Linked DNA regions of Mus musculus. The protein of the gene in region 2 interacts with the protein of the main gene of each other region in a pairwise test. Links are inferred from orthologs where the notes say so. Each region holds a gene or a part of one and is shown on either strand. Other genes may lie near its edges.

Region 1 (4,270 bases), on a different chromosome or scaffold from region 2:
CTGTTGGCTTTATGCAGCCAGCAGGAGGTGACAGGACCCAGAAGAGTGCTGGCTTCAGGAGTCAAGGGAGAGACCCCAGCTGGAAAAGGGTGGGGTCTGAGGAGCAACAGTGAGGGGGTCAACCCTGGTCACACAGACAACGTCCCTGCATGCATGGCCTTTGGGTCCTTCACCCTGCTACAGTTAGTGAGTGAAGTGTACGGCCAGTCTCTCCACACCCCAGCTACCTCACAGAGCTGCAGAGCACTGGGGATAAACTGGGCTTGCTGATAGAAAGGGAGTGTTTGCAAGTGCTACACACAAATCAACCATTATTATTATAGGGGGTTGGGAGGTAAACACTGAGGTCAGGAGAGGGTCAGACAATCCTGACACCAGGAAGAGGCCTGAAGAGTCTCTAGGAGTCTCACTCCAGGCTGAGGAAAGGAGAGAGGAGGGAGAAGAGAAATTCTTTTTTGAGGACCGATAAGAAGGCCCCATTGTGGTGGCACGCCAGGCCCCTTGATTTCAATCTTGGGGAGGCTGAGTGTGGCCAGTTAGAACCAACCACCTCTAACTCCAGCTCCAGAGGGTCTGACTTCCTCTTCTGTGTCGCCACCACGCCACCCCACAGGCATTTACATGCACAGAGACATATAATTAAAAATAAAAATATTTTTTTTAAAAAAAGTCAAAACCATAAAAATGAAAGCATGGGAGAAAGTGACCCAGCCTGGGTTGCTGTTGTTTGTCGTCGTCGTCTTTGTTTCTTGTTTTGTTTTTTTAGCTTGCTGGCAGACTACAGGAAAGAAAGATTGAAAGATGCGTAGAGCAAGACCCGGCAGAGGAACTGACCTAACTGTGGAGAGGGTGATCTACAGTCTGTCCCCTCCTCTGAGATGTGCTTTCTTGGGCGCCGCCAGCAGGGTGTTTGTTTGAGGAACAGACAGGGGCAGGGCCATCTCGCAGGAAGGAAGAGAATTACGCGGGGAATTTGAAACAAAACTTCCCAGGGATCGCAAAGCTCGGCAGTCCCAGCCTATCGCTTTGACAAAACTACTTATCGTGGGAGAGAAGTTAGGCGGGGTGAAGGACTGAAAGGGGCGCGTGCCCTGGGTGGCGGTGACCTGAACCCCCGCAGCATCCTGCACCCTGACCTGCATGCTTGAAGAAGAGAGCTTGGGAGAACGATGGACTAGGCGCGGTCGCCTGGGACCAAGCAGCCGGGATGTAGGGAGGCGGGCTGGTCGGTAACAGTGATCCGGTGGCGACCTGGACCCCTCTGCGGCGAGCCAGGTGGGGGGTCTACGAACGATGTATGGGCGTGGCCAGGCCAATCCCAAAGCAGGATTTACAGTCACGAGAGAAAAAGACCAATCGAAATCCGGGGCGGCGGTGGTGGATGGCTGATAGGGCCAATGGGCTGCAAGCGCCGGGGCGGGGCGGGGCCGCGCGGAGTTTCAAATCGGCTGCGGTGGGCTAGGAGAGGGTGTTGATCTTCGGGTCCGGGTATCGAGCAGGGAGGTGAGCATGCGGGGTTACCGAGGGGCTTAAGGAGGGGGGTGGGGGACGGTCTCACGGGGAGCTCTGAATGGGGAACGGGTCAGGAGCTCTGGATAGGACCCACAAGACAAAGGGAATGTCTAGGAGTTGCAAACGCCCCATCGGATCCGAGGCCTTGGCTGGATTGCTAAATCTGCTCCGGAGAGGAAAATTTGTGAAAACAGCATACTGCTGGTGCCCTGCGTAAGCGCCGAGGCTCCGTGACCTGTGTGCCACTCCACTTAGCCTATGGGGAATAGGCTAGGATGGAAAGACGGACAAATTGCCGCCTTGCAACGGAGGCAGCTGCTGACCATGATGCCATTGGTCATCTTTCTGGCATCCACAATTGCCCAACAGGCCTACCCCGCGAGGTTCCACTTCATCTCTTTCCCAGTTCCCAAGGTCCCTGGAGCCTTGGAATGGGGTCAGGGAGTACTTTGATGACCTTTTGACCTCCCCAGGATCTAGCGGGCAGCGGAAACTGGACCAAGCACATGGCGTCTCAGTGGCAGGGCATGAGGACCTCTGTGCGCAGACGATCACTCCTAAAGGAGGAACAGCTAGAGAAGAAGGAGGTGACCCGGTCTGCTGGGGGTCATCCGGAGACCGGTCCCTTGGGCTCCCTGTGCAGACAATTCCAAAGGAGGCTGCCTCTGAGAGCGGTCAGCCTGAACCTCGGTAACGGCCCCTCCTGGAAACGCCTGGAAAGTCCAGAGCCAGAGCAGCAAGGTCTTCAGGCTGCAGCTCGCTCAGCCAAAAGCGCCTTGGGTGCCATGTCCCAGGTAACAATGACACCACCAGCCGTCTGTTTACAGAAGCGTCCTTGGTGTTGACTGTCCCTATCCTCAGGGAGACCCCAGGAATATAGACTCCATGGGGTCTTGGGGTTTGATTAGGTTCTTGCCATTTTCCCAGAACCCCGGTCATTCTGGCACATAATAGTTTCCCAACAAATCAGTAGGTGAATAAAGTCATGGAAGAAATTGGTGTTCCCCATGCAAGGTGACCTGCCATGTCCTGTGATAGAAAATTGCAGGAAATGGCTATCTATAAAGAGATACCAGTCTCAAGCTTAGTGGATAAAGACTTCCTAGAATAGGTGACTCTTCCAAGATCACTCAGGAAAGGGGAGGTGTATGTAGGCACAGGGCCAGTGGGATGCTGTGAGTGAGTCCAGCGTGGATGCTGAAGAGAAGAGTCCCCAGTGTGAAGCTAAGCAGTCAGTATAGTGAGAGAGGTGATCCTGTGTGCTGACCCCCATTTAAAGTCTCCCAGTCACACTCTTACACCTTAGCTGTCAACTATTTGGTAGAAAAAGGCAGAGGAGCGGGGCTTGCAGAAAGGGTGCAACTTCCTGAGCGGTTCAGAAGGCAGATTTGAGGGGTGGTGTTTGTGTGTGGTGTGTCCAAGAGCCTTCGAGCAGATATCTTCTTTTAATGTTTTAATATTTATCTATGGGAGGAGCGCTTATGCAGTGGTACTTGTCTGGAGGTCAGAGAAGGAATAAGGTCTCCCTCCACCGTGTGGGTTCTGGAGATCACACGAGTTGCCTGGTTTGGTGGCAAGAAGATGTACCTGTTACGATATCATGTTGACCCCACCTAGGTCTTTAAACCTGGAGCTGGAGATGTGGGCAGGTGTCCCCTGGACAGGACAGAAGCTATGAGAATGAGCAGACCTCTAAGAAGAGAAGGGGGAATGGCCCCTGGCATCTTGCTGGCATTCTGATGGTGTAGGGAGAGAGCAGAGGCCTCTGACGACTCCACAGAGAGGTCTCCTTGCCAAAGTCTAGCTCTGACTTGGAAGAGCCCTAAGATTGCTTTCAACATCGCTATAGCTCAGAACAATGAAATGTGACAGTTTGTCTAAGGTCACCCAACTCATGAAAACTTATCTCGGGCCTTGCTCCAACTTCTGGGTTCTGGTTTGCCAAGGCAAAGACAATCTAGCAAGGCTGTTTGACCCAGCCACATGTTGAAGATCCAAGGGTTGGGACTCAGCCCTGTAGATTATTGGGAGCCATGGAAGGGCTCAGAGCAATTAAGTGTTATGAGCAGACCTGTCATTGAAGTATGTTAGACTGAGATGGAGGAGGGAAGAGAAAGAATAGGACTAAGGTAGGATCCAGAGCTGGCATCCAGAAAACTGAGCCTCCCTCACTCTCTGAGTTAGTCTCTGCCTGGGGGCTCAGATGTAGAGTGGTCTTGCTGCTACCTGCTGAGTTACCACACTGGATCTCAGGAAGGTCTTGGAGGAGAGTACCATCTCATGGGGAGTCATGCTGTTGCTCTTGGCTTACTGTTGCTGCTGCTTAGTAACAGCAGACTGTGTTTGTGGGGCCAGCCCTGGGCTGGAAGAATGGCTAGAGCCTGGTAGCCCACCTTGGTCCTATCTGTGCCAACCTTCTCACATGAACCCATCACAGAGGATCCAGGAGTCCTGTCAGAGTGGCACCAAGTGGCTGATGGAGACACAGGTGAAAGTGAGAAGGAAGCGAGGAGCCCAGAAAGACAGAGGGTCACCACCACCCAGTCTGAGCCAGAAGAACACTCGGCTATGCAGGGCCAACCGGGATGCTAGAGTCGGGGGACATCTTCGCCTCTCTGGCCAGATGGGTCCGCATGCCCATCGCCGTCAGCGGCTAAGGAGGGAGTCTGCCCTCCGGAGCCCCTGTTCCTCCACAGAACCTCTCTGCTCTCCCAGGCAAGTAGTCGTCTGAGCCCAGGAGGACCTCCCCTTCTGTCCC
Region 2 (3,002 bases):
AACTTCGAGTTTGGGTTTGGCCATAGGAATCACCCTGAGAAAGCTGGTACGGAATGCTGCCCTGGACATCGTGGACGGCATGGCTCAGCTCCTGGAAGTGCTTCTTACTGCTCCATCTCAGAGGTAGTGGGTGCTGCAGTGTGGGCTAACGGTTAGTGGGGTTCCTTCACTCAGGGAGGGAAAATTGGCCCTCACAGCAAAGTCACTCATCTTGGACCTTATTGGGAGACAGAAACCTAGGTTATTGATATGTCCTTGTTAATTCCTTTCTCCAGCACTGAGAATGGTGACCTGATTTCCTGCAATAGTGTCTCAGTCGCATGTCAACAGGTGCCTGAGATCCCAAAAGGTGGGTAGGAGTAAACTATTACCTGCTGGCCAGAGCAGAGAGGCCTCTCGGGTCTAGCTTCCAGCTGTGCCTTATAGATATATTTTAATTTCTGTGAAGACTTTAGTGAAATAACATATAGTTTATTTTCATTGATATTAGTTGATTGATTTAATACTTTTTGCCATTCCTTATGCTCATGTTTGGTTTGGTTTTGGCAGTGCTGGGGATTGAGCCCAGGGTGTGCCAGTCAAGCGCTGTGCCACTGAGCACAACTGTTCAATTCAGACGACTCCTCTTACTGTGGCTCTCTCTCTCTAGTTGAACAGATAGTTGCTCTCTCTAGTTGCTCTCCTATTACTGTGCCAGGAACAGCATGGGTGAGCTCGCTGAAAGAGCTATAAAACAGAGCCAGGCAGACTGAGAGTGGCTATCAAGAGGATGTGGTAATAAACACTATGAGACAGTTTTAGGTGAAATTAAAAAGCCTGTTTAACCCACTTTCTAGGCAGAGGGTGTAATAAGAGAATTAAAGCAGTGCTGGTTGCCCTTTGTGGTCTTAAGGAAACGGTCAGGTTTCTCCTCTAATTCTAGTGCTTCTGATTCTTCACTCATAGATAACAAAGCCGCAGCCCTTTTGATGCTGACCAAGAGTGTGGATTTTGTGAAAGATGCACATGAAGAAATGGAGCAGGTGAGGGCACTTACCCATCTTTCTTGAGAACTGATCATAAAGGCAGGGGTTGCCCGCAGCTTGACTGAATAGTCCCACGCTCACTCCTGTCCTGCCCTCTGTCTCCCACTGTGTTTGGCTTGTTTCTCATTGCCTCCTCTGTTCATTGCTGGACAAGCAGAATGAGAATGTTGGTTTCTAAATCGATTCAGTTTTGTAGCCGATATAGCAAAGCAGGTGGCTGATGGTGGTGGTGTGTTTGTATTCGCAAATATGATGGTATGTCTTAGGCTGTAGAAGAATGTGACCCGTACAGCGGCCTCTTGAATGATTCTGAAGACAACTCCGACAGCCACAGTGATGAGGATGGTGTGTTAGGGCTTCCCAGCAATCGGGACTCATACTGGTCAGAGGAAGATCAAGAACTCATAATCCCGTGCCTGGCGCTGGTGAGAGCATCCCGAGCTTCACTCAAGAAAATCCGGATCTTGGTGGCTGAGAATGGAAAGAAGGATGAGGTGGCCCAGCTGGATGACATTGTGGACATTTCTGATGAGATCAGCCCCAGGTAAGCGTGGGTTGCTCCTGGGAAAACAGGAGCATTGGGATCTGAGCTGATGCCCTTGCTCCAGGGCTGCTTCCAGCTTTTTGTGTTTTAAAATTTTTCAAGCCTAAAGGAAAATTGAAAAAATACTTGAGTCAGTAGCCGTACATCCTTTATTTGGCTTCTGTTCACCTTTCCCCCGTGTATTTATTTACTTCTTGATAAGTAGGGATGATATGCTTTTCCTAAATCATAAAGGCATAAGTGACTTTTCACCCGTGAATATTTTATCAGCCACCTCCTAAGAACAGACATGGAGTCACATTCAAGAAATTTGACATTCGATGTAATAATAAAACTAATGCTTAGATTTCTCTATTTGTCTCAAAATGTCTTAACTACATTCTGAGTTTCATTAAGATCTCTTTCTACATTTTCTTGGCATTTGTTTAATTTCTTACAATCTTAGTCTCTGTCCCTTGTGGTCTGACTTGACATTGGCATTTCAGAATTACATATGGTAGCTACACAACAATTTGGATTTATAAGAATATTTTCTCATAGTAGTAACAAAGTTAAACATTTTGGGTCAAAAGTTAGCGTGTTTTGTACTTTCCTTTATATCCTGCTGGGGAGGCACCTGATGTTAATTTTCCTGCTTAGTAGTAATAAATGTAGTTACATGGTTAAAAGTAGTGGCCTCTTCTGAAGAGGTCCTTTTGCCTCACATGTTTAGTTTCCATTGATGAACTCTGTCAGTATCACTGAACTGATGGTTTTGAATCCTCATGTCTTTGACAGAACTAATTCCCCATCCTGTGAACCACTCACGTTTCCCCCCAGCTTCCTAAATAGTACATGTTTATCCCAGTAAACATTGGTTGAGTTTCTTCTGCATTGCATGCCTGCTTAAATTAAGGAACTGAGTTGGTTGTGTGCTGGGAACAGCCACGCTGAGCTCTGCCCCCTTTTTGTGGTTAATGGTTCCGTCTGTCTGCTTCTTAGTGTGGATGACTTGGTTCTGAGCATATACCCACCTGTGTGCCACCTCACTGTGCGGATCAGTGTAAGTACCAGCTTTCATTAGTATTTATAGAGCATTTATATCATCACCAAACTTGTGTGCAGATAAAATATCTTCATAGTTCTTGTTTGTATTTGGCTTGATAAATACTAGCTGGACTCTTGTTATAATAGCCATGTGCTTTGATACTTTAATTCTTTTTATTTTTAAAGATTTATTTATTTATTTTATGTATATGAGTACACCATTACTGTCTTCAGACACACCAGAAGAGGGTTACAGATCCCATTACAGATGGTTGTGAGCCACCATGTGGTTGCTGGGAATTGAACTCAGGACCTCTGGAAGAGCAATTAGTGCTCTTAATCACTGAACCATCTCTCTAGCCTCTGATATTTTAATTCTTTTAGAACCACTTGAATAATTGTTTGAA
Region 3 (4,056 bases), on a different chromosome or scaffold from region 2:
TAGCCTCCCAAGTGCTAGGATTACAGGTGTGAACCACCACGCCCAGACTCTGAATTCTGACTGATCTATCAGGACTACCATAGTTCATCTTCTCTCTTGATTAACATATACAGCGTATCAAGAAATCCTTTAGGTTCTATCTTTAAAATATATCAGGATCCAGGCATGGTGGCGCACGCCTGTAATCCAGTGCTCAGGAGGTGAAAGCAGGCAGATCTCTGTAAGTTTGAGGACAGCCAAATCTACACAGTGACTTCCAGACACAGCTAGGACTATGTTGAAAGACTCTGTCTCAGGAAAAAAAAAAAAAAAAAAGAACAAAAATCACCTGGAAAGCAGAGGTAGATGAATCTCTATGTTCGAACCACCTGATATAAGGTTATATTTGGTCTCCAAATAAATAAAATAAAAATATGTCCAGCCGGGTGGTGGTGGCGCACGCCTTTAATCCCAGCACTTGGGGAGGCAGAGGTGGGTGAATTCCTGAGTTCAGCCTGATCTACAAAAGTGAGTTCCAGGACAGCCTGGGCTATACAGAGAAACCCTGTCTCGGAAAAAAAAAAAAAAAATGTCCATAATCCAGCTGGGTCTGGTGGTTCATGCCAGATATATCAACACTTGGGAAGCTGAAGCAGAGGACTGTGTCGAATTCAAAGCCAGCCTTAGCTATATAGTGAATTCCCGGGCAGCCTGGGTTTCAGAGTGAGGCCTTGCCTCAAACAACACTAAACTTCATGCTCTCTAGAGTCTATCCCCACTTCTGCCACCTCTGCTACTATCACACCTAGCCCAAGCCCGCGTCTGCTCCCAGCCTTCCAGGCCATTCTCTGGGTTGCTTTTTCCTTCCTACTTCCACGACTACACAAGCTACACACCTCTGGCATTCCCTTCCAGAAAGAGAGCGCTCAGAGGACAGGGGCCACACGGACTGAACTCTCTGACCACTGTCCCCATTGCTCCGCGAGGTAGGAAGTTCTGAAGACTTCGCCCCACCAACCCAGCAGCTGGGCTAGCCTGTGCTCCAAGAGCCCTGCTCGCACCACGACCTCCCTCCTTCCGTGGCCCGTGCTCACTTGTCCTCGTTGTCTGACATGATGCCTTCTCCGCCCGGGGCGCAGAGCAGAGAACGCGCGCCTTTGCCCCTCGCCGCACCACGCGTAGTTTGCGCTTGCGCCGTGACCCAGGCGCAGTTACTTCCGGGAAGCAGCGGCCGACCAGACGCTAATGCGCGTGCGTGGAGGCGTGTCGCTAGTTACCATGGTAACAAGGAGCGATTAGTGAGGACGCTGACACTCTAGCTCCTTGGAGTTTCTCCGTGCGGAGGGCTCTGTCACGCCCAGGTCATCGCCTAAGGTGAGCGCTCCTCCCCGGACCGTCACGATAGGGACTGTGGTCACTGCGCTGTCCGGAGCCGAGGGGTCGGGCACCAGCTTCTCAGACTCCCAGGTTGCTCGTGATGAGAGGTCCGGATTGCGAAGCGTAACTAGGGCGAGTCATTGCTTCTCTCCCTCCTAGGGCCCTCCCATGGCTTCCCAGGAAAGGGTGGACTCGGTGACCAAAGGAACCGGGTTCCGCCGCTGCCGTAAGCAAGCAGGTTACACGCCGGGGACTTGTGAGCTGCTCAGAGGTCAGTGCATTAGGGGATCAACGACCCGAGCGGTGCGGTTTTTCCTTAAGAGCTTGGGATTCTGAAAGGTTCGGGGAAGAATCAAAGACCAGAGATGGAGAATTTTGGAATGGTTAGTTCATCTTTTACATGCACTTTCAATGAAGCCTATCTCCTCACTGCAGTGGGACCTTCACAGTACCAAATTCAATTCCCTTCACCAGGCTTAGACATTATACAGTCTTAGAGGTGTTTAGTGTCACCTTCTAAATGGTGAACACCACCAGGCAAAGAAACGTGCCTGTTTCTGCTCACAACTGTAGCTCCAGCCTCTGCTACATGAATGAGCATGTATGCACTTAATTATTCAACGACAAAAACCTAATGTGTGATTTGGATATTGTCCTAGGTACTAGGAATAGAGTGTTGAGAGGATTGCAAAGGACAACTCTTGCTCTCAGAAAACTGATAACACAGGAGGGTAACAAGAAAAATGAACAGGAGAAAATTATAGAGCTGAAGGTGTTGCTCAGTGACAGAGTATATTCTAGGCAGATGTGGAGTCTGGGTTTCAGCCCCAGCACACCATACACAAAAAAGTCTGTGTGTGTTACAGTTGGAGAGCTGGCTCAGTGGTTAGGAACATGTACTGCCCTTTGAAAGCTCATTCCCCAGCACCCATGTTAGCCAGTCACCAAAAAAGTGTGTGTGTCTTAGGCATATGTAATGGGAGGATTGCCTGAGCCCAAGAAAAGCTAGCCTAGATAATATAGTAAGAACCTATCCTTGAAATAAAATAAGGACTGGAAAGATGGCTCAGAGATTAAGAGCACTGGCTATTCTCAAGGACCCAAGTTCAATCCCCCACAACCATATCAGGTGGGTCAAAGCAATGTGTAACTCTAGCTTCCTATGAGTCAGTGCCTTTCCCTGCCCTCCACAGGCAGCCATACACGCATAGCTACACACTCACGCACGCGCGCGCGCACACACACACACACACACACACACACACACGACCTTTTATTTTTTAAGATTTGTTTGTTTATTTATTATGGATAGTGTTCGGCCTGCATGTATGCCTGCAGGCCAGAAGAGGGCACCAGATCCCATTACAGATGGTTGTGAGCTTCCACGTGGTTGTTGGGAATTGAACTCAGGACCTCTGGAAGAGCATCATATATGCTCTTGATATGTGAGTCATCTCTCCAGCCCACATACAATCTTAAAGGGAGAAAAGCTGCATATAGTGGCTCATGTCTTTGATTCTAGCACTCTGAAGAAAGAGGTGGGTGAGTCTTTGTGAGTTAGAGGCTTGCCCAATGTACATACCAAATTTCAGGACAGCCAGGCTACAAAGTGAGACCGTTTCTATAAATAAACAAATAAATAAAAAGAGAAATAAAAAAAGATAAATTAATGAATAAATACAAGAAAAGGAAAAGAACCTTAAGTGACAGGCACTCTAAAGAAGATGGAGTAGGCAGAGGAGTGGAGGAGCTCAGTGCAGAATGGAGGGGGGGGGCGGGCAAGGGCGGGACCTGGTGGGATGAGGTGTGTCTGCTGAAGCTCCAGACGTCAGCCCCGGCTTTATTTTGCAGTTATGATGAAGGAGTCTAAACTGACAAACTTCCAGCAACGCCACATCATGGACACCATGAAAAGTAAGGGCAGTCACTCTGACGCTAGAGACTTTCTGGGCGAAGGAACCAGGGATACTTTTTTTTTTTTTTTTTTTTTTTTCTTGAGACAGGGTTTCTCTGTGTAGCCCTGGCTGACCTGGAACTTTGTAAACCAGGCTGGCCTCGAACAGATCTATTAGAAGTCTGCCTGCCTCTGCCTTCCAAGTGTTAGTTTTGACAATGAGTGCCACCATGCCTGGCTCAGAAATACATTTTCAATGTCGCTCTATATGAAAGGGATGGGGAGTTCATACCGCAAGTTCTTGACAGCCATGGCTACACAGTGAGATCTCGTCTCATTAAAAAGGGTTCAGTAAGCCGGGCAGTGGTGGTGCACGCCTTTAATCCCAGCACTTGGGAGGCAGAGGCAGGCAGATTTCTGAGTTTGAGGCCAGCCTGGTCTATAGAGTAAGTTCCAGGACAGCCAGGGCTACAAAGAGAAACCCTGTCTCAAAAAAACCAATACAAAACAAAACACAAGGCTGGAGAGATGGCTCAGTGGGTAAGAGCACTGACTGCTCTTCCAGAGGTCCTGAGTTCAATTCGCAGCAACTACATGGTGGCTCCCAACCATCTGTAATGGCATCTGATGCTCTATAATGGAATCTGATGCCCTCTTCTGGTGTGTCTTAGGACAACTACAGTGTACTCATATACATTAAAAAAAAAAAAAAATTCCTGGGGTGGTGTGGAACACAGGTTTAAATCCAGCATTTGGGAGGCAGAGGCAGGAGGATTTCTGAGTTCCAGGACAGCCTGATCTACAAA
Region 4 (4,079 bases), on a different chromosome or scaffold from region 2:
GAGCACTATTAGAATATTAATCCATTTCCAGATGTGATTTACCAGTAATGAAACCTTTTCCCAATCTTGAATTATGAGTGGGGGTGGGCATGGTTGGAGTTAGAAATATAAACTATATAAATAACTCAAAAAAATGTTAAGATTAAAATGCTAAATCTATAGATGCATGTCTAATTTCAGTAAGTTATTCACTCAAGGAAACAATTTTCCTTAAGCTGGGCAGTGGTGGTGCACACCTTTAAACCCAGCACTTGGGAGGCAAAAGCAGGATTTCTGAGTTCAAGGCCAGCCTAGTCTACAAAGCCCAGGACAGCCAGGGCTATACAAAGAAACCCTGCCTCAAAACAAAACAAAACAAATCAAAAAACAAAAAAGGTCAATTTAATGGCAAAAGCCTGGTGTGGGACAGTCTTTAAAAAGATAGAGTAATAACAATTTAAATTGTTAGCATTAAATTGTATTCATCTCTCCTTGACTCAATACTCAAAATCTCACCGACCAGCAATGTTCTATTTTGTTTGAGACCTAGCTGTCCTCAAACTCACAAGAGGGTGCCTGCCTCCGCTGGGATTAGACACAGCCCCCACAGGCAGTGTTTTGCTATCACAGGCTAACAACCTTTAGAGTCCCAGCACATGACCTCCTGCCCAACTCTATTTTCTGCAGATGAGAAGATGGAACAACTGAAGATGCCAGCACGAATCTGTTGTCACACTCAGCATGGGAGGAAGGAGCTGGGCAGACATACCTCCAGAAAGCGAGAGTGCAGGGCCTGCTCTGTGATGTCGAGCACTTCAGGGTTATAAATGCTGCCGTTGTCAAACACCTGCTGGATGATCAGCCCGAAGGAGAAGGGGGAGATGTTCAGCATGTTCAGCAGTGTGGCCTCGCTGGCTCCCACCTTGTCTCCAGTCTTTATCAGCTGCACATCACTCTGAGGAAGAGAACAGCAGGACAGTTATCATCTGGACACACAGGAGGCCCAGCCCAAAGGACCGACCACTGCAGGCCATCTACTCACCAGAATTTCAATGGTGCCTCTGGAGATTTTCGTGGTGATGCCCAAAGCCTGGAAGAAGGAGGTCTTCTCGGGTCCTAGACCAGTGTTCTGAGCTGGCACAGTGACCTCACACGGGGCGATGGCACCAGCCCGAGCAGCAGCTGGCACCTAAACAGAACAGAGGTAGTCGACGGTGAAATGCCTCTCCATCGGTGAAAGCCCCGAAATGGCCAAATCCTCATTCATCGTCCCAGCCCCTTACCTTATTGGCCAACAGCATATCCCGAATCTCAGTGAGGTCCTCCTTGGTGAACACGAAGCCCACGTTCCCCCGGATGTGAGGCAGCAGTTTCTCCAGAGCTGGGTTGTTCTCCAGGTGGCCCCTGATAGCCTTGCGCATCATGGTGTTCTTGCCCATCAGCACCACGGCCTTCCCTCGGAGCGACATGCGGATCTGCTGCATCTGCTTGGAGCCCACGTTGTCTGCTCCCACAATGAAGCATTTTGGATAATCATCCAAAAGTTGCTATGAAGGAAGCCAGGAAAAACTACATTGAGAGGAAAACAAACAAAAAATACCCAGCAAAACCCGAAACCCTGCTACCTCTACCTCCCCATTGCTTCACCCTAGGTGTGACACTTCTCGCTAGGAGCCAGCCACCCGAGCCCAACGTCTGTCTTTATCTGATCCAGCTTCCTTGCTGGTTACGAGTATCACAAAATTACTGTCACAGCCAAAAATTAACTTTTAGCTGGGTGTGGTGCCACACCTGTAAAGACAGGTAAGGCTTAATTGCTAATCCGAGGCCAGCCAGAGCTATAGGGGGAAGACTTGCCTCAAGTAAATCTTAAGCTTTACTTTTTAAATAAGGCGTGCCTGGGTGACCAAAGTGACTCTGATCAGGGAAGAGACAGACTTAAAAAGCACAGAAAACAAATTATAGAGAGGTCGGGGGATCTTAGGTTGTGAAATATAAAAGGTACTACCAGACCCAAAAATCTTTGTCTCTGTCTCGGAAAAAAAAAAGAAAAGTTAACTAAAACAGACTGGTACCTACAAAGTCTGGTAGCTCTGGTTCAAAGCCACCTCAAAGGCCTTTTGTAATTAAGTCACTCAACAGCAGCCTGACTGGCAGGTCTCAGATGGGCAACAAGATGAATCACTCCAGTCTCAGCCCTTTGCACAAACGCGAAGGGCTCGACGAGATGAAAAACTGGGTGAGCGAGCTAGTTCTGGAACGCGGGGGGGGGGGGGGGAGATCCCAAGACTACAGAACTTCCCCAGGATGCCCAAACTCTGTTAAAGCGCGTGGCCAACGACCGCCCCGGGAAGACCCGGAGGCGGAAGCCGCGCGTCCCCGGCCCGCTCCACACTTACGATGATCTTGAGGAAGTAGTTGGACTTCCAGGTCGCCCTGTCTTCCCTGGGCATCACGGCGGTGCGTCAGGGATTGCCACGCGGGGTTTAAAGACGATGTCACTGGGGAGAGAGAGGGGGCAGCTTGAGCCCGGTAACCCCAACACCGGCCCCGATCCCAGGCCTAGGCCAAGCCGGCCACGCCAGAGCTGGGCCCCGGGCTGCGGCCGCCAGCAGCGCGGGCGATCCGACAAGCCAGGCGGTAGACCGGACGGGCAGAGCCCGGCCGCGATCCTTCCCGAGCCCATCGCTCCCACCCGCAACGTCCCCGCGCTCTTGCCGCCCTCCCACAACAAAACAACCCCCCAACCTCCAACGAGGACGCCTGGCGAGAGACGGGCCGCATGCCCGCGTGTGCCTTTTATAGGAGAACCAGGCGGTCCTCGAAACCCGAAGACGACGTCGTCCATGCCTATTGGCTGGTTCCATCGACTGTCCTGCCTCACTCAATAAACATGCGCGTCTATTGGCTGAGACCGCTGCCACTCCAGCAAGTCGGGAAAGTAAAGACAGCACCCGGCCGCAGGAGGCGCGCTTTCAGACCTGCTGCCCTCTGCTGGGTCGGAGCCGCCCTGCAGCGTCACCGAGTCAGTACAGCAAAACAACTTTCTGCGAAACCCTAGCTGATGCTCTAGTCTCCTCTTGTTCTTCCATTCTTTTTTCTTTCTTTTAATTTATTTATTTTTTATTTTTTTAGGTTTTTCTGTATATCCTGGCTGTCCTGGAACTCACTTTGTAGACCAGGCTGGCCTCAAACTCAGAAATCTGCCTGCCTCTGCCTCCCAAGTGCTGGGATTAAAGGCGTGCGCCACCACTGCCCGTTTTGTTCTTCCTTTCAAAACCTACATCTTCACCCGCACAAAGTTAATCAAAGATTGCCGTTTTCTCTGAGTAAACGCCTAAAACGTAGACTATTCTCAAGGTCCCACACGACTGTTTCCACTGTCGCAATCTGTTTTCTTGCTTTCCTACTGATGTGTTTGCCTCTCGCCTGATCCCTTTGCCCTTTTATCCCCTTCAAGAGTATGCCTTTTTTTTTTTTTGGTTTTGGTTTTGGTTTTTCGAGACAGGGTTTCTCTGTATAGCCCTGGATGTCCTGGAACTCACTTTGTAGACCAGGCTGGCCTTGAACTCAGAAATCCGCCTGCCTCTGCCTCCCAAGTGCTGGGATTAAAGGTGTGCGCCACCACCACCGGCTTCACAGCTTTTTGAATGGTGCTGGCCAGCTTCGGTCAGAGAAACTCACCTCCCCCACATCTTGCTGCAAATGCTATCTACTCAAGGAGACCTGCCCTGATTCTTGATTTCAAATTTTAAGGGCGGGGGCAAAACCAAACCTACTCTCCCTTACTCTCCCACCTTCTCCTGCAGCACTTACACCATCTAACTCGCTGTATAATTCACCACATTCTGCTTGTCAGCCTCTCCCTGCAGGAAGGTAAGCTCCACAGGGCAGAGATTTTATTCTGTGCCTGCCAGACAGTGGGCAGATAAGTATTTGTTGAGCAGGCAAAACGCAGGGCATGCGGCCAGATGAGACCCGGATCCATAACTTTGTTCTGCCGCTTGCTGTGTTGTCTTAAAAAGCACTTCCACTTTATTGACCGTTTGCTTTCCCTTCCAGGGATACGGGAGAAAATCGATACATAAAACTAGCTTCTT
Region 5 (4,107 bases), on a different chromosome or scaffold from region 2:
ACGAGACAGATCACCTCAACATGGTCTTCAGCAATAAGACACTGGAGCATATCAATGCCATCCTACTGGGTGCCTACCGCACTCCTAAGTCGCCAGCTGCCAGCCCAAGTCCCCCACCCCCTGAATAAAGACCTAGCTGTTATAAATAAGTGCAGGGTGTTTGTTATGGGTTAAGGGGAAGGCACTACTAGGTTCCTTAGATAACCTGCATCACCTGGCTGATGCATGCTTGATCTGGGCTTAGGGGAACACGGGGTTCAGTGGGCTTTGCTAAGGCCCCAGACTGGACTGACTTTGAGATATGTAAATAGATTTTCATTGTCCTAGTTGAGCTGCTCAGGAAGCTTGCTCTGTGGCTTCCTTCTTAGGGGCCCAGGACAATATTCAGATCTGGGTATATGGCTGTTAGAATGGGGACACAGAGAAATAGGATTTGAAGTCGACTTTTGAGTTCTGGTTGGATACAGAAATTTATAATAAAGCATGGTGGTGCACGCCTTCAACTCAACACTTGGGAGGCAGAGGCAGGCAGATCTCTGTAGGCCACTCTGATACACACAGTTCCAGGACAGCCAAGACCACAGAGATTCTGTCCCCAAAACACAAACAAATAAATAGAATTTAAGATATTGGGGCTGGGGATTGTTAATGTAAGAACTTGGATTCCATGACAGCCGGAGCTATACAGAGAAAACCTGTCTCGAAAAAACAAACAAATAAATGGGGCTAGAGAGATGGCTCAGCGTCTGTTGAAAGAAGCTGTTTTTCCAGAGGACCCTGGTTCAATACCCAGCACCCACATGGCTGCTCACAAGTGTCTGTAACTCCAGTTTTAGGGGAGCTGACACCTCACACAGACATGCAGGCAAAACACCAACGCACATAAAATAAGCCATAAAAAAATTAAAAAATTAGGGCCACGTGGTGGTACACATGCCTTTAATCTTCTCATCCAGGCCAACCTTGTCTACAGAGCTTATTCCAGGGCAGACAGGGCTACACTCAACTACACTGAAAAACAGTTTTTCAAGCGCCCCCCCCCCCCAAAAAAAAAGTTTAGGATCTGAAGAAAAGACAGTTCATCTAAAGAAGATTTAATGTGAGACATTAGAGAGAGAGAGAGAGCAAGCACTCAGAAGTTAAGAGCATTTTTTTGCACTTGGAGAGGACCTGAGTTTGGTTCCCAACGCCCACGTGGTGGCACGCCCACATGGTGGCTCATGATCATCTGTAACTTCAGTTCCAGGGAATCTGATGCCCTCTTCTGACCTTGGTGGGCATGTGGCATGCACATACCACATTCACTCACACACATAACTAAGCCTGCAAGGGCTTCATTTCTACTTACTTTTAAGGGGTTATGTGTGTGAGTGTTTTACCTGAATACATGTATGTGCCTGCAGTGCTCAGGGGGTGTCAGCAGAGATGGGAATGGAGGATCTAAGGCGCACCATAGGTCTGGCAAGGAGTGTAATAGCCCCTTCCTCAAGTTATCTGGGACTAGCAGCAAAGACGAAAGTGAAAGAGAAGATGCACACAGCAGCCAACAGCCTCTGAACTAGGGTGGGGGTGAAAGCGAAAGTAGGAAGCGTCCGGAAAAACCCCACAGAAGCCAGGACAGACGCCTCTGCTCCCCCTGGCTGATCCACTCATCGAGACCCCCGCATTCTCACTTGGCCTTCCTGCGAGATGCTGAAGCAGGCAGTGGAACCCACAGGAGGCTTCTCTTTCGAGAACTGCCAGAGGTGAAAGGGGAGTGGAGTTCTAGTCACGAACTGCTGGTGCCTTGTTTTATTGGTGGAGTGGGGGAACCCTATGTTGGGTGACCAAGTAGGGGCTTAAGCCAGGAGATGAGTAGAAATGGGTTTGGGGACCGGTTCAGGGACCCTCCCTTGATGCAGAACTGAAACGCGAGTCACCCCAATGTTTCCAGGAATGCGTCCTTGGAACACGTCCTTCCGGGACTTCGGGTTCCTCATGCACGCAAGACCGGGACTACCATCGCGGGGCTTGTGTTCCGAGTAAGCGGGGTGATAAGGGCTGGAGGGCTAGAAGGGCAGCCACTGCGGAGATCAGGTGGGCATTAAGGCTGGGCTCTGCCTCTGCAGGATGGAGTCATCCTGGGAGCGGACACGCGGGCCACTAACGATTCGGTTGTGGCGGACAAAAGCTGCGAGAAGATCCACTTCATCGCCCCTAAAATCTAGTCAGTATGCCCCGGACCAGTCCCCATATTCAAACATAAGCTGCACTGTCGCTCACTCCCTACTTTGTCCCTGCACGTCCCTGTCCACATCCACCATCCCTTTGTCCCTTAGCTGCTGTGGGGCTGGAGTAGCTGCGGACACTGAGATGACTACGCGGATGGCAGCTTCCAAGATGGAACTACATGCGCTGTCCACCGGCCGTGAGCCTCGGGTGGCCACGGTCACCCGTATCCTGCGCCAGACGCTTTTCCGGTGAGCAAGTGGGGCTAAGATGACCCCTAAACGGGGTATCTGCAGGTGGGTGGAGTTGACAGGAGGCGGGACGTGGAGTGGGGGGGAGCGGGGCTGCGACCTGCAGGGAGACCGGAAGAAGACAGACCAAGCTGAGTTCCGGAAGAGGCAGCGTCAATTGCAGGACGCCAGGCCAAAGGAAGGGGTGGGACTCAGACCAAAAGGCAGTGTAATGGGCGGGGCCTGTCTGCTAACATTAACCCTGCCTGCTCCTCCACAGGTACCAAGGCCACGTGGGGGCATCACTGGTCGTGGGCGGGGTTGATTTGAACGGACCTCAGCTCTACGAGGTGCACCCACATGGTTCCTACAGCCGTCTGCCCTTTACTGCCCTTGGTGAGCTCTTCCACCCTTTAAATCACACGAATCCTGCTCCTGCAACCCCACCTTCAAGGTTTGTACCTCCGCAGCTAACAACTGACTTCGGATGCCCCTTCCCACCTGCAGGCTCTGGTCAGGGTGCAGCCGTGGCACTGTTGGAAGACCGGTTCCAGCCAAACATGACGGTGAGCGACTTCTTCATGCTCACTGGCGGGGAGTGCTGAAAAACCCTAGCCAAGTATAGAAATAAGAAAGGCTTGTAGGTGTGAAGGGGACAACTGAGTAGGGACTGAGTAAAGTTGAAGATGGGAGGGCCAGTCAGGAACCAAGCTTAGACCACAGAGAGAAGCAGAAGCTCACAACGGATCATTACTGAAGGAAGAGGTAAATGATGTTTGAGATTGGACTTGGGAGTGGGATAGAAGTAAGTGACTATGTGCTTCAGAGATAACTAAGGCCCAGAGAGAAACACGTGACAGACTGGGTGGGAAGACAACTTGGGGGGGGGTACATGTAAGCAACACTGAGAAGTTTGTACAGAGGACAGTGAGTGGAGGGCACACAGTTTTGGAGGAGAGGGGGTCAGAAGCCAAGGGACTGGAATTTTCAATGGATGGAGAGAAAGGAGGTTGAGCTTACATAAAGAGCAAATTGTCTAGACTTCAAGATTAACAAGTCCCCTGGTTAGAGTGTGGTAACACTAGGTCCATTTAACCTCATTTCCACTACCCAGCTGGAGGCTGCGCAAGAGCTGTTGGTGGAAGCCATCACAGCAGGGATCCTGAGTGACCTGGGCTCTGGGGGCAATGTGGATGCCTGTGTGATCACTGCAGGGGGTGCCAAGCTGCAGAGAGCATTGAGCACCCCCACCGAGCCTGTGCAGAGGTAAGAGCACAGGAAGGGAGGGCTCTGTGTGTGTTCACACGTGTGCATGGACAGGCTGCATTCTAAAAGGCTGGCCCTCCTCCCTTCTAGAGCTGGCCGTTACCGATTTGCTCCTGGAACCACACCTGTCCTGACCCGGGAAGTGAGACCCCTGACCCTGGAACTTCTTGAGGAAACTGTGCAGGCCATGGAGGTGGAATGAAGTGGCCTGAGATGTAGAGTTTGGAATGAGGGTGAATAAATCCGGGAAACACAAACACTTAAACAGAAGGCTGTGTCTTTCTTGAGAGGAGTGAGCCAAGCATCTGTAGGAGTTTTGTGGCTGAGGTATTCACCTAAGGACGACAGACCCAGTTCTTGGCCTGAGGTCCTCCTCCTCCTCACCTCAGGGATCTATCCGTGC
Region 6 (3,500 bases), on a different chromosome or scaffold from region 2:
TACATCTTAAAAAAAATAGAGGAAATCTACATGAAATACATTACTGTAACGTTTATGTCCTTTTTCTCCAATCTAGTGGAAGCTGTTGCTGCCCTGGGGAACAAAGTCGTGGAAAGCCTAAGGGCACAGGATCCCTCAGAAGGTTTGAATTTGAGTTTGTTGCTAAATATGCATGTAGTGGTGGCCACAGCAGCTGGTCTTACAAATAGTAGGCAGTGTGGGTTAGGGGTTAGCAGGAGTCTCTCCGGTATTCAGTTTTTATTTTATTATGAAAGGTGGGTTATGAGATAAACTTACACTATTGTTCCGGCTGGCCTCAAATTACATTCTTCCTGTCTTGGCCTCCCAAGTGCTAGGATCATAGATAGGGATGCACCACTGAACTCTTTTTTTTTTTTTTTTAATTTATTATTATACGTAAGTACACTGTAACTGTCTTCGGACATGCCAGAAGAAGGCGTCACATCTTGTTACGGATGGTTGTGAGCCACCATGTGGTTGCTGGGATTTGAACTCAGGACCTTTGGAAGAGCAGTCAGTGCTCTTACCCGCTGAGCCATCTCACCAGCCCCACCACTGAACTCTTGAATGCTGTTTTTAATTCAGAAATAACCCTCAGCTTAGAGGTGTATTGCTTGTGTGTGTGTGTGTGTGTGTGTGTGTGTGGTGCTGAGGTTGAACACCACACCTCTTATATGCTGGGCAGTCAGTTTGCCACTGAGCTTCATATTCAGGCCCTTTGTTGCTTGAGGTCTCATGTCCTGTCCTGTCCCGCTCTCTCCCCTACTTTTTTATGTGGGTAGGTTGGTCTAGTGCTAGAGATCGTCTCCTTGCTGCCTCCTTCTACTTAGTGGTATCCAAGCTCTTACTGATGTTTTGTGGTACATGCTTATTAACCCCAGTACTTGGAAGCATAGGCAGGAAGATCTGAAGTCTGAGGCCAGCCTTCAGTACATATACACATGCACATACATTCTTGTCTCAAAACCTAAATAACCCACTGCCAGAAAACTGACCTGTTTAATCAGATGTGGCACACCTATAACCCCAGCATTGGAAAACTTGGGCAGGGGATTGGTAATTTAAGGCCAGCCTGAACTGTATACATAGAAAGACCTTATGTCTCAAAACAAAATGAAGGCAGGGTTGATACAGCTTAGTTGGTAGAGTGTGAGTCTAGTGTGTGTAGAGTTGGGATCAGTAGTCAGCATTACATACCCCAGCTTTGCTGGCACATGCTTCTTTCTACTCAAGATGGGTGAGGTCGAGGGAGGAGGAATTCAAAGTCATCCTTGGCTTCATAATGTGTTGGGAGGCAGCCTGAGCGACTTGAGATCTTGTCTCAAAAGCTTGATGGCTCAGTGGGTTAGAAGTGCTTGCCAGCTAGGCGGTGGTGGCGCACGCCTTTAATCCCAGCACTTGGGAGGCAGAGGCAGGCGGATTTCTGAGTTCGAGGCCAGCCTGGTCTACAGAGTGAGTTCCAGGACAGCCAGGGCTACACAGAGAAACCCTGTCTCGAAAAACCAAAAAAAAAAAAAAAAAAAAAAAAGTGCTTGCCACCAAGCTTGATGACTTGAATTCATTCCATCAGACCTGCATGGTAGAAGGAGAGAACTGATTCCTAAAGGCTGTCCATTGCTCTCTATAGGAGTGTGAGTGTTCCCAGTCTCATATGCTCTAAATAAAACATAATTTTTAAAAAATTCAAAACAGAACAATTATGTTTTACATCTTGATTATTTTGTTCTTTTAGTTTTGACCATGCTGACTAATGAAACTGGCTTTGAAATTAGCTCTTCTGATGCTACGGTGAAAATTCTCATTACAACAGTGCCCCCCAATCTCCGAAAACTGGATCCAGAACTCCATTGTAAGTCTCCCCCCTCCCCATTGCTGAGAAATATGGGGGTGGGGGCTAGGAGGTACAGACAGCCAAAGCGTTGGCACTTTCTGGAAATGTTAGTATCTTGTCAACTGTAAAGGAGTTTTACCTTCCCTGTCATTTCTAGTTAGTTTTACCAGCTTCCTAGTGACTTGGCTGTTGTGGGAGTTTTTGCTATACCACTTTGGCTCCTGGCAGATGGAGCTATCTTTTGGATCTGAAAATGAAAGATACATTAGCTTATTTTTAAATGCCTTGGCTGCCTCAAAGGCTGGGTACTCCTAAACCTCCCCCTGCTACCTTATGCCCAGTCAGGAAAGTGGCCAGTGGCCACTCACCCGAAATCTCACAATGCTGGTTGGTATTCTCTTCCATTCCTCTCTGCATCCTACTGGAGCAACTCTAATTGACCTTCAGCATCTGGACATGCAGATTCCTGATTGAATCAAAGCATAGATAGAGCCCATCTCCAACATTTTCAAAGTCTTAAAAAGGATTACAGAAGAAAAAAAAATTGAAGAAAAAGATAAAAAGTAAAAGCTTGCCGGACAGTGGTGGCACACGCCTTTAATCCCAGCACTCGGGAGACAGAGGCAGGTGGATTTCTGAGTTTGAGGCCAGCCTGGTCTACAGAGTGAGTTCCAGGACAGCCAGGGCTACACAGAGAAACCCTGTCTGGAAAACCCCCAAAACAACAACAACAAAAAAAGTTAAGAGCACTGACTGCTCTTCCAGAGGTCAAGTTCAAATCCCAGCAACCACATGATGGCTCACAACCATCCATAATGAGATCTGATGCCCTCTTCTGGGGTATCTGAAGACAGCTACAGTGTACTCACATGTAATAAACCTTTGGGCCAGAGTGAGTGGGGCCAGAGTGAGAAAGAAAAAAAGTAAAAGCTTGTATAAATACTTGTGAAGGGAAATAGATTACTGGAAAAGATAAGTGTGTTGCATGTTTTCAGATTTGGCTGGGAGGAACAACAGTGTTTGGACAAATGGCTTGCTACCTTAGCCTTGCCACAGTTCTGGATGGGTATTGATTGGGATTGAATATACTGCACACATAATAGGAAAGTTTTTTTAGCCTGTTGTACTTGTCTTCAGTGGACATCAAGGTGTTGCAGAGCGCCTTAGCAGCCATCCGGCATGCCCGCTGGTTTGAAGAGAACGCTTCTCAGTCCACGTGAGTCTCATTGGTCGTTTGTATAAAATAATCTTTTCTGAGGAGTGTAGTGGCTTTGACCTGTAATCCAACAACTGTGAATAACAAACAGTACAGGCCCCCTACTCTCTCTGATAGAACTGCTTCAGATGTGATGTTTTTATCTAAAAAAAAAAAATATATATATATATATATATACACGTGCATATAGAATTTTGTTGTGTGTGGGTGCAGTGTAGTCTGAGTTCTCTTGTGTGAGTCTTAGGGATTGAACTCAGGTTTGTCAGACTTAGGGTACAAATGCCTTTCTTTGCTGGGCCAGCTGCTAGGCACTGTATATATAATTCTCTAAATAGTACAGTCAGTTTTGACTCCTAACTTGTGCAGAAATGTCAATATGATTTTATTATCTCTTAATTCCTGGGTCTCTTATTCAGAGTTAAAGTTCTCATA
Region 7 (2,718 bases), on a different chromosome or scaffold from region 2:
AACACCGACATGATAGCAGAACTAAGGGTTCAGTTGCTCTCTTCTGGCCTTTAGCAGTACTGCATGCATGTAGTACACAGACATAGATGCACATAATAAAATTAAAGGGGGGCCCGGGCAGTAGTGGCACCCGCCTTTAATTCCAGCACTTGGGAGGCAGAGGCAGGTGGATTTCTGAGTTCGAGGCCAGCCTGGTCTACAGAGTGAGTTCCAGGACAGCCAGGGCTACACAGAGAAACCCTGTCTTGAAAAACAAAACAGAAAAGGAAAGGAAAGGAAAGGAAAGGAAAGGAAAGGAAAGGAAAGGAAAGGAAAGGAAAGGAAGCCCTAAGAGGTTCAGCATTACATGAGGAAAAGTGTGCCAGAGGGGCTGCAGACAGAGCTCTCAGTTAGTAGAGTGCTTGGCTAATACATATAAACTCCTGTGCTCCATTCCCGGCACCATACAATACAATTCAATTCCCAGCACATACTGGACATGGACCCCTGTAATCCCAGCACTGCGGAGGTGGAGGGCCAGGAGTTCAAAGCCGCGGTTGGGAATGGTCAGCAGTTAGTGCCTGCCGTGCAGGTGTGAGGGTCAGAATTTGAATGCCCACAAACCCAGATAAATGCCAGCTGGATGCGGCGGTCTGCCTACTTCTGCCCTTCGAAGGCAAGGATCCGAAGTCAGACGCGTGCATACGCGCGCGCACGCACACACACACAGACTATATTGTGAGTTCAAGTTCAAGGTCAGCTTTGGCTACAGGAGACCTTGAAAACATGAGAACGGGGATAAAAATTCAATAGCCCTACCTGCTGAGCCATCTTACCCACTTTTTGGGTTTCATGGGGTTGTTTCCGGTGAAGGGTAAACATGCTGTGTGCTTTTAACATTATGCAAAGTATGCTTTACTTACTGATTTCTTGATCTGTGCCAGATCAAGCTGTTTATTATATACTTACATGTTTCAGTGTGTAACTCGGCTGGCTCTATGGCCCGAGCATATGGTGTTACAAGCATGAGCCACTGCATCCTGTCAGGATAGCTTTGATACAGAAATCTGAACAGCATTGGGAGGTGTAGCGCAGCAGACATTGGGAGATGACGAATCCTTGGCTCAAACCAAAATTGACTACAAATCCCAAACAACACATAACCCAAACCCAAACAACAACAACAAAAACCAGGGATTTGATCCTTAGTACCACAATTAACAAATGTGACGAGCGCTTGCTTGCTTGCTTGGAAAAGCATACAGAATCACGCTCTGGACTGTAGCGCGAGACTCAAACTACCAAGACGACCCTCCCGGCCCTGAGCGCGCAGCCTGCGTCCGCATCTACACGTGCCAAAGGGAAGTGCTTTTGTACAGCCACGCCTCCTCACACTTGTCTCACTGGGTGCAAAAACTTCACTTTTTGGCTCGTTCCCCCACCCCACCCCGCCCGCTCCTCACCCACCGCAGCACATCTCATGTTGTGGAATGAGAGCTGGAGGTTAACCCAGGCTGCAGCTTCTGCACAAATAGCCCGGGTCTTGGAAGGTCTACCCTGGGCTAAGTTACTAAGCTCCCCTCTACTTTTCACGAAGTGGTTGCTCCCACTCCACCCGGAAGTGCTTACAGCCGGATCCGGGGGATGAGCTGGTGGCAGGACATGGACCAGCGTGGCGGTGTCTCCAGTCCGAGCGGTGCACTGGCGTCTGCCGAGCCAGCTCCTGCCTCGGTGACCCTGGCGGAGCTCCTGCACCTGGTACAGAAGGGCCAGGAGGTCCCGGGCCTGGAGAAACGCCACATCACTGCGACCCACGGTGAACCCACCGCGTCTCTGCTCCCTCGGAGGCCCAAGCCCTGGGAAGATGCGGGCTCGGCCGCCTCACCCTGCACCATCGCCCTAGACACGAGGACGCAGCCTCCGACCATCGAGGAGCGATCCCGGGGCAGTCCAGCCGCCCAACTCGACGGAGGCCCAAGGGTTTCCTGATGCTCGAGGTGTTTCCCGAGGGCATGACTGGGTCCTACACAAACTTGAGTCTGGACACTTGCCACCTGTGGGACTCAATGTTGCCTAGTAATTTTGTTTTTGGATGCCAAATTTCAACTTCATACTGTGTCCTAGTCCATTTGTGTAACGGAAATAAGTTTCCCTTGTCACTGTAGGACAGCACAACCTCCTGGACCCGCTTGTTCTGATGATACCGATAAACCGATATCCAAAAGGCATTTCTAACTTGGCAGTCGTTTGGGTTTGATGAAAAGGTTCCTTCCCAGAGTGATACATAGAAACCCTGGTTCTTGGAGTTGGGGGACTGGAGAGAGGGCTCGGTGCTCTTCCAGAGGATCAAGGTTCAATTTCCAGCAAACATGGTGACTCACATTTTAATGGGATCTGACGCCCTCTTCTGTTGTCAGTGTGCTTGGCCACATAACTAAATCTTAAAAAACCCTGACTCTTGGGAGCAACTAAGGTAGTGCGAGCAGAGGCAGTTTGGTAGTTGGTACCCCCATAGGAGTTGGCTTTCTCCTCCCACCATGCACCAGACCCCCCCCCCCCCCCCCCCCCCCCCGGTTAAGCTCTGGCTTGGCAGCAGGTGCCTTACCCAGATTCATCTCCAAGGCTGAAACTAGTAGTTGGGAATTAAGCCCTGGGTTTCTGAGGGAGCATTCTTTCCTCCCCGCAGGACTTGTGAAACGGTGCCAGATGCCCAGGGGACTGGGCGAACGGCTCTTTTTA

The links.
Region 1: the proteins of Ccndbp1 (region 2) and Pimreg interact in binary tests that used the Homo sapiens proteins (3 or more experiments, as listed by UniProt). The two-hybrid records come from large-scale screens. The link is inferred for Mus musculus from reciprocal best matches to the Homo sapiens genes CCNDBP1 and PIMREG.
Region 3: the proteins of Ccndbp1 (region 2) and 1700088E04Rik interact in binary tests that used the Homo sapiens proteins (3 or more experiments, as listed by UniProt). The two-hybrid records come from large-scale screens. The link is inferred for Mus musculus from reciprocal best matches to the Homo sapiens genes CCNDBP1 and C22orf23.
Region 4: the proteins of Ccndbp1 (region 2) and Rplp0 interact in binary tests that used the Homo sapiens proteins (3 or more experiments, as listed by UniProt). The link is inferred for Mus musculus from reciprocal best matches to the Homo sapiens genes CCNDBP1 and RPLP0.
Region 5: the proteins of Ccndbp1 (region 2) and Psmb10 interact in binary tests that used the Homo sapiens proteins (3 or more experiments, as listed by UniProt). The two-hybrid records come from large-scale screens. The link is inferred for Mus musculus from reciprocal best matches to the Homo sapiens genes CCNDBP1 and PSMB10.
Region 6: the proteins of Ccndbp1 (region 2) and Ilf2 interact in a two-hybrid assay, tested with the Homo sapiens proteins (2 studies listed by BioGRID and IntAct). The two-hybrid records come from large-scale screens. The link is inferred for Mus musculus from reciprocal best matches to the Homo sapiens genes CCNDBP1 and ILF2.
Region 7: the proteins of Ccndbp1 (region 2) and 2310039H08Rik interact in binary tests that used the Homo sapiens proteins (3 or more experiments, as listed by UniProt). The two-hybrid records come from large-scale screens. The link is inferred for Mus musculus from reciprocal best matches to the Homo sapiens genes CCNDBP1 and PEX39.

What each region holds. Positions count from the first base shown.
Region 1 is NC_000077.6:72,041,032-72,045,301, forward strand, and holds the start of Pimreg (protein PIMREG), read left to right. Parts: upstream 1-1,470; 5' UTR 1,471-1,503; intron 1,504-1,985; 5' UTR 1,986-2,018; coding exon 2,019-2,306; intron 2,307-3,949; coding exon 3,950-4,227; intron 4,228-4,270. UniProt on the Homo sapiens protein: During mitosis, may play a role in the control of metaphase-to-anaphase transition.
Region 2 is NC_000068.7:121,011,408-121,014,409, forward strand, and holds part of Ccndbp1 (cyclin-D1-binding protein 1), read left to right. Parts: intron 1-26; coding exon 27-123; exon of another isoform or gene 124-151; intron 152-275; coding exon 276-349; intron 350-945; coding exon 946-1,022; intron 1,023-1,291; coding exon 1,292-1,569; intron 1,570-2,550; coding exon 2,551-2,611; intron 2,612-3,002. UniProt on the Homo sapiens protein: May negatively regulate cell cycle progression. May act at least in part via inhibition of the cyclin-D1/CDK4 complex, thereby preventing phosphorylation of RB1 and blocking E2F-dependent transcription.
Region 3 is NC_000081.6:79,138,452-79,142,507, reverse strand, and holds the start of 1700088E04Rik (UPF0193 protein EVG1 homolog), read left to right. Parts: upstream 1-1,256; 5' UTR 1,257-1,353; intron 1,354-1,515; 5' UTR 1,516-1,524; coding exon 1,525-1,627; exon of another isoform or gene 1,628-1,739; intron 1,740-3,207; coding exon 3,208-3,270; intron 3,271-4,056. Other genes in the region: Polr2f (DNA-directed RNA polymerases I, II, and III subunit RPABC2), read right to left, coding at 1,074-1,093.
Region 4 is NC_000071.6:115,558,188-115,562,266, reverse strand, and holds the start of Rplp0 (60S acidic ribosomal protein P0), read right to left. Parts: upstream 2,801-4,079; 5' UTR 2,728-2,800; intron 2,481-2,727; 5' UTR 2,433-2,480; coding exon 2,379-2,432; intron 1,527-2,378; coding exon 1,263-1,526; intron 1,169-1,262; coding exon 1,022-1,168; intron 935-1,021; coding exon 749-934; intron 1-748.
Region 5 is NC_000074.6:105,935,593-105,939,699, reverse strand, and holds Psmb10 (proteasome subunit beta type-10), read left to right. Parts: upstream 1-1,307; 5' UTR 1,308-1,689; coding exon 1,690-1,745; intron 1,746-1,933; coding exon 1,934-2,021; intron 2,022-2,108; coding exon 2,109-2,206; intron 2,207-2,318; coding exon 2,319-2,459; intron 2,460-2,718; coding exon 2,719-2,834; intron 2,835-2,945; coding exon 2,946-3,004; intron 3,005-3,552; coding exon 3,553-3,704; intron 3,705-3,794; coding exon 3,795-3,906; 3' UTR 3,907-3,972; downstream 3,973-4,107. Other genes in the region: Lcat (phosphatidylcholine-sterol acyltransferase precursor), read left to right, coding at 1-128. UniProt on the Homo sapiens protein: The proteasome is a multicatalytic proteinase complex which is characterized by its ability to cleave peptides with Arg, Phe, Tyr, Leu, and Glu adjacent to the leaving group at neutral or slightly basic pH.
Region 6 is NC_000069.6:90,482,701-90,486,200, forward strand, and holds part of Ilf2 (interleukin enhancer-binding factor 2), read left to right. Parts: intron 1-76; coding exon 77-142; intron 143-1,753; coding exon 1,754-1,870; intron 1,871-2,989; coding exon 2,990-3,068; intron 3,069-3,484; coding exon 3,485-3,500. UniProt on the Homo sapiens protein: Chromatin-interacting protein that forms a stable heterodimer with interleukin enhancer-binding factor 3/ILF3 and plays a role in several biological processes including transcription, innate immunity or cell growth.
Region 7 is NC_000083.6:46,771,190-46,773,907, forward strand, and holds 2310039H08Rik (uncharacterized protein C6orf226 homolog), read left to right. Parts: upstream 1-1,445; 5' UTR 1,446-1,623; coding exon 1,624-1,968; 3' UTR 1,969-2,218; downstream 2,219-2,718. UniProt on the Homo sapiens protein: May be a peroxin involved in the PTS2-mediated protein import pathway.